Linked DNA regions of Coturnix japonica. The main gene of each other region encodes a partner of the protein of the gene in region 2 in a complex. Links are inferred from orthologs where the notes say so. Each region holds a gene or a part of one and is shown on either strand. Other genes may lie near its edges. The genes, in order: TIMM9 and TIMM10.

Evidence for each region.
Region 1: the proteins of TIMM10 (region 2) and TIMM9 are in contact, whole or in part, in a crystal structure (PDB 2BSK), measured with the Homo sapiens proteins. The link is inferred for Coturnix japonica from reciprocal best matches to the Homo sapiens genes TIMM10 and TIMM9. Residues at the interface, in NP_036588.1 of Homo sapiens: Glu16, Met17, Asp20, Met21, Arg24, Ala28, Cys29, Lys32, Cys50, Arg53, Cys54, Ser56, Lys57, Tyr58, Asp60, Ile61, His62, Arg64, Met65, Gly66, Lys68, Leu69, Leu72; in NP_001291414.1 of Homo sapiens: Lys15, Leu18, Gly19, Tyr21, Asn22, Lys23, Thr25, Glu26, Cys28, Phe29, Leu30, Val33, Asp35, Phe36, Thr37, Thr38, Arg39, Glu40, Val41, Glu45, Thr46, Glu50, Leu53, Leu57.

Annotation. Positions count from the first base shown.
Region 1 is NC_029520.1:50,197,515-50,200,954, forward strand, and holds the end of TIMM9 (mitochondrial import inner membrane translocase subunit Tim9), read left to right. Parts: intron 1-243; coding exon 244-339; intron 340-2,232; coding exon 2,233-2,367; 3' UTR 2,368-2,735; downstream 2,736-3,440. UniProt on the Homo sapiens protein: Mitochondrial intermembrane chaperone that participates in the import and insertion of multi-pass transmembrane proteins into the mitochondrial inner membrane.
Region 2 is NC_029520.1:7,775,116-7,777,759, forward strand, and holds TIMM10 (mitochondrial import inner membrane translocase subunit Tim10), read right to left. Parts: upstream 1,250-2,644; 5' UTR 1,182-1,249; coding exon 1,111-1,181; intron 939-1,110; coding exon 737-938; 3' UTR 650-736; downstream 1-649. Other genes in the region: SMTNL1 (smoothelin-like protein 1), read left to right, coding at 2,209-2,644.

The DNA.
Region 1 (3,440 bases), about 42 Mb from region 2:
AGCAACATTTTCACATATCCCATACAGTACTGGACCTATTTAAGCACTAACCTATTTAAACACAGCATTTTGGACCTATTTAAACACAGGATTTTATGCTGAACCTGTTAATGGGCACTAAGTTTTCCTGGTGAGCTGTCATTGGAACGTTACCATCACCAAACAGCTCATGGAGCTGTGTATAAGAAAACAATAGAGATTTAATTTTTTTAATGCTGATGGTGTTTTTAATTTTTACTGCAGTTCAAGGAGTTCCTGGGAACATATAATAAAATTACAGAAAGCTGCTTCATGGATTGTATAAGGGATTTCACCACCAGAGAAGTTAAACCAGAAGAGGTATGTCAATGTTTCCTGTGCTTTTAATTACCCTTTGGGTAGAATTTCTGTTTAGTACTCAAACTTCAGAAGCAATTTGGAAAGTCTGATCTTTCAGTTAGCTGGAAAGCTCGTTAGCTGTCAGTGGAGGTGTTCTGGCACACAGCTTCCAAGTGAGAAGAGAGATGTGCTGGTAGAAATGTTTGCCCCCACAGCTCTGGCTGTTCAGTCCAGTTCCCTAAAATTACAAAACGATGACAACGGGGAGCTCCATCATGTACTCATCTGCCAAAAGAAAAGGCTCTGGATCAGATGAGTTACGTTCTCCTTGTTTTTCATGGCTTGTTGGGTGGCTGCTTCAGAGTGGTATAATTATGTTGGTTAGAAGACTTAATAGCTTTGTTTAACTCTAGCTTTCCTGCTACCAGGAAGGAAAAACAATCCAAAACCCAACTAAACCACACATAAAGACTGAAACCAGCCACTTTGTTGGAGCATTTTCTGCCTCCTTAGTTTAACAGCTGCCTCTCAGTGCAGGCAAAAATCATCTCTCTGCTCAGCTTTTGTTTTGCTGCATTAAACCAAGCTCTCCTGGCTTCCCAGGACTGATTCTTTGTTCCCATGATATCTCCTGCATTTGCTTTGCTGGAAATTCTCTTGACTGCAGGTGGTCAGAACTACTCTGAATAAAGTCTTGCCATTGCCTTTCACCAGCTCCTTTTTAGCTGCCTGAGCTATACAAGATGCTTTTCCAAAGCATCTGGTTGTGGCCCTCGTGGATATGGGATACTGGTCTAAATGGATGACTGGTCTGCTCTGATCATAATTCCCTATTTAAAGTTATAGCTCTTTAATAATTAAGCCAAACGCCTCCACGGATCTCCTTGGAGATGCTGCATTTGTACAAGCAGCTGCTGCCCTCCTTCCATACAACACTCTGCACTGCAAGTCTAGACTTCCCCAGGCAGGGTATCACAAACACCACGCCCTCTGGGAGATGTGGCTTGGGGTGCTTTTAGAATTGAACAGCATTTGTTTCCTGGTCAGACTTAACTCCTGCTTAACAGGTTTTACTGTAACTGATGCCAGGTCAGGGAGGGAGAAAGAGAAAGTGGAATGGAGAGAGTGTACATCTGCAGGTTCTGTGTCTTTTCTCTTCCTCTCTGCTTTCTGCATCCCTTTATACTGAGCAGAATCAAAGCAGTTTCTGGTTTTCTGTTAATCATGCAGAGCTTTCATCTTTCTTTTCTATCTAAGCGTGATGACTTCTACAGTGATTGAAAGGTTTGGAACCAAAATATCTGACTGGTAGAACTGTAACTCAGAAATAGATCCCATGGCTTTTTCCTTTACAATAGAAAGAAAGAGAGAGAAAGAGAGAGAGGGAAGGAAGGAAGGAAGTTTAGGGCTGTTCTGTGAAGGTGAACCAGGCTGGTGCAAGACGACTGCTAGAGTTAATAGGAACAAGGTCAAAAAGAGATTAACCTGAGCTAACACGCAGTGGAGCAGATTTGGCTGTCAAAAATAGGTGTTTGCAAACCTGGATTCAGAAAAAAAGGGGGGAACCTAAAAAACCTTTTCTCAGGTTTAGTGTTTACTGCAAAATAAAATCCTTTACGTACTTCATTTCACAAGAGCAGCCCAAGGATGAAGCGTTAATATCTCCTAGCTCTAAGGTGTTTTCCATGAAGACCTTTTTATGAGAGTGCAATTAAAAGACATTTCAAGCATTCCTCAAAAACTTAAGCTTATCGTTTTCTACTGCATAGAGAGACTGTGAACAATTAAATCCTGAGCTGTGAGCCTAACACAGAGCATGAGATGTAGTCAACCAATCTTACAAACCTGACTATTGCACTTAAGTTCTGCTGTGGTTTTTCATCACTCTTTGAAGCTGTTTTTCTCTCCCTGCAGATAACTTGCTCAGAACATTGCCTACAGAAGTATCTGAAAATGACACAGAGGATCTCCATGAGATTTCAGGAGTATCACATACAGCAGAACGAAGCTCTGGCAGCTAAAGCAGGACTGCTCAGCCAACCTCGTTAGACAGGAGCACTCTGTTCAGACTTCATAAGCAGTGCCAGTGTTCACTGGGCAAGAACACCTTTTGGATTTTCTACTGTCAAGATGCATGTCCAGAAACTCTGAAGGTTGTTCTAGATGCTGTTTGGAAGCTGGAAGCCACGGAGGGTAATGCAAAGAGTTAGGGAGCGCTGTCTGACAGCAGAGTCTCTTTCTGAGACTCTCATTCCACTCTGCAGTGTATTGTCAGGGCCCACAGACCACTATATTGCAATTTCAAAGGGAGGGGAAAGTTATGCTTTTCCTTCTGTTAGGACTGATTCAGAGGCAAAAGAAGTGTAATGCGAAAATACGTTTTTTAATTTAATTCAAGTAAAATATATGGAACCATACAGTTGTATGTATGTTTTTTCCACAGGTAATTTAGGATGCTGTTTGAGAGCCATGCTTTGTTTGCAGTTTTATTCCTCACCATCCTCCTATGGAGTCTCATTCATTCTTTGCTGCTTGAAGCTGCTGACTGATAGATAACTCAATTAATTGGTTTTAGCAGGTGGGGATTTGTGAATGTTACATCTCTCAATTTGGGGAGAACTTTTGTTTCATTGCCAGCTGCTCTCTTAAAGCCTTACGATCTTTCTGACTGCAGCCTATTAGAGCTTCAGGCCAAGAGCTACTGTAAGCAGCAGTCAGCTGCTGTAACTAATGAGTTCTGGTAGGCAGGGGAACCTGCCAGCTTGTCCCTAGGTTATGTTGGCCTTATGCTTCACCAGGTCATTCACAAGTGACAGTAATGTGTCATTAACAGCACCTTTGCCAAAGGCATTGTCTCAGCACTCCTTGTTTCTCTCTGGGGGACCCAGTGTTCCTCCAGAACTGGCTTTGCTGCTGGCTGTAAGCACGATGTGCTCCAAGCACGGAGCTTGCTGGCAAGTTCCTCCTTTCTGTTGGCATTCACACAATTAAGTGTGAATAGATACGTACAAGGCGATGCCTTTTTATCTGCTGCTGAATGACTGCAGAGCAAAGTCTGAGAAAACTGTTCTGATTGTGTGCTGTTGGCTCAGGAATAAACACTGCTGCTTTTGAAAGGATCT
Region 2 (2,644 bases):
TGTCACGCCTGCAGCACCTTGCACACCCACTGCTTGCACGACAGGCTCACGGTGGGGCGTAATGCGACCCACAAGCTGTGAGGACAGTGAGTGTGCGCGCAGCCTGACCCACTTCCAGCCAGCCCCGGGGACACACCGGCACAGGCGCACTGTGTGTGTACGGGTGGATGGACACACAGTGCCCACCCCCAGGCTGGGGTGTCTCTGGCTGGGTGTTCCCATCTAGTAACCCTGTGCAGGTCTTCCCTACACATGTGTGCACATCTGTATGTGTGGCTCTGGGGTTGTTTCCATCCAGGTGTCCCCCCCTAAGTGTCCCCACGTGGGTGTCCCTGTGTGGTCCTTTTCCAGGTGTGGAAAGGGCACTGTCCCTCTCCAGCCATCCATACCAAATGTCTCTGTGCCTGTCCCCATGCAGGTGTGCTGTTTTCTCACTGCCCCCCTGCAGGTGTCCCTTTGTGGCCATTTCTCCAGGTGCTCCCCAGTGTCCCCCCAGCAAGCAGAGTGAGGGGCACAGCCCTGTCCTGACCCCATAAGGGATAAGGAAGGTTTCAGCCTATCCCCGAGGCTGACGTGGGCACAGCAGACACGCCGGGGTGCCCCCATCTCCAGTAGGTTAGTGGGACACCCCCTGACACAGCACCACAGACGGGTTTGGGGGGCCGAGGGAAGCACACAGCTGGCCCAGAGCCTCCAGTTTATTGGTACGATGGGAAGGGGAGTCCGAAGGGAGGGCTCAGGCGGTGCCCGTGCCCTGCTGCATGCGCTTCAGGAGCTCCTCGTCCTGCAGCGACAGCTCCGTCAGCTTCTTGCCCATCCGCTCGTGCACATCCAGGTACTTGGCCACGCAGCGGTCCAGGCACACGCTCTCGCCTTTCGACAGCTCCGCCTCCTTGTAGTGTGGGGGCACGCACTTGAGGTGACACGCCTGCGTCATCCTGAGGGACAACACCGTCACCCCACGGCTCTGCCCGGCACCCCCCACCCCCGGCACCCGCACAGCCCCCGCACAGCCCCCACCCGCGACACCCACGCGCCTCTCGCTCTCCCAGCCCCTCCCTGTCCCGGGCACTACCCCCAGGCCCCGGCCCGTCCCGTCAGGCCGCGCACCGGTTGTACATGTCGGCCATCATGTCCACCTCCAGCTCTGCCGCCAGCTGCTGTGCCCGCAGCGGGTCCATGTCGCTCCCGCACCGCGCTCCCGCAGGATGCACGTGGGACGCGCTTCCGCCCACACGCTCAGGCGCTCCGCCCCGCCGCCGCTCTCGGTCAATAGGAGACGGGTGGGGGCGGGACAACGGCTCGTTCTCAGCGCTGATGGGACGTGGGGAGCGGTGCGGAGCGGGGTGGGCGGGGGCAGGCGATGGAGGGCAGGGATGGATCGGGGCCGGCCCGGCCCACGCGTGACCTCCGCGTGTCCCCGTGGGTCTGCCCTCACGGCTCTGCCCCCTCGTGTCTGTGTCTGCTACGGGTCTATGGCCCCGTGTCCCTCTATGTCAATGTGTCCCCTATGTCCCCCCACAGATCAGGGCACTCTGTGTTCCCTTTGTCACCCTTCTCTCCCATATATGTGTCCCCCGTGTCCCCTCGTGTCCCACGCATCACCCATCTCCTCCATGTGCCGTGTCTCCGTGCCCACTCGTGACCCTCATATCCCCCCGATATCGCCTCCACGTCCCCCCATGTCCTCACGTGCACGCGTCCCCCCGTGTCCGTGTCCCTGTGTCCCCGTTCCATCCCGCAGTCCCCGCTATCCCCAGGCCCCGCCCGGCCTCCTCTCCCCCCCGTCCCGTCCCGTCCCCTCCCCGCTGTGCCCCTCTCCGGCCCCCGACCCGCCCCGTCGGCGCTGACTGAAGGCGGCACCTGCGGCGGTCACACGGCCGCGGGGAGAGCGGAGAGCGGTGAGCCGGGATATGGGGCGCCGGGGGGCTGGGGGGGACGTCGGGGGTTTGGGGTGAGAAACGAGGATAGGACGGGATGGAGGGGGGTCGGGGTTGGGGGTAGGGAGTGAGTTGTGGAGTTGGGACTGAGCTGGAGGAGCTGGGAGGGGGCAGGAGGAAAACATGAATGGGGAATGGGTTGGGTTGGGGTGTGCAGGGGGGAGGGAGGGGTTTGGGGACAGGAGTGGGGGGTGGGGGTTGGGTCGAGGTGGATGGGAAGGGATAAATAATGGGGATGGGATGGGGACTGGGAGCTGTGTTGGGGCCGATGGGGTGGGCGGGCAGGAGGAACGCTGAGGGACAGAAGTGCAATGGGATTGCATGGGGTGGAAGGCACGGTGGATACTTCAGTGACAACCCTGCAGCCCACAGTAGGAGCATGGAGTCCACAACAACCGATGGAGCCCCAACCCCAAATGACACTGCCCTGGGTGACCTCACACAGACATCAACAGGGCCCACAGAGGGGATGGTGGGGGGGGACAGCGGGGAAAGTGCAGCACAGGAAGGGCAGGGGGAGGCTGGGGGGGATGAAGGGGGCGCTGGGGGGGAGAGTGCAGGGGATACGAGGATTGGGGGCGAGGTAGAAGCAGAGAAGAACTGTGGGAGTGAGGCTAAGGGGGAGGCAGTAGGGGATGCTGTGAGTGAGGTCAGCATGGCAGGAGATGCTGGGAGTGAGGCTAAGGGGGAGGATGCAAGGGATG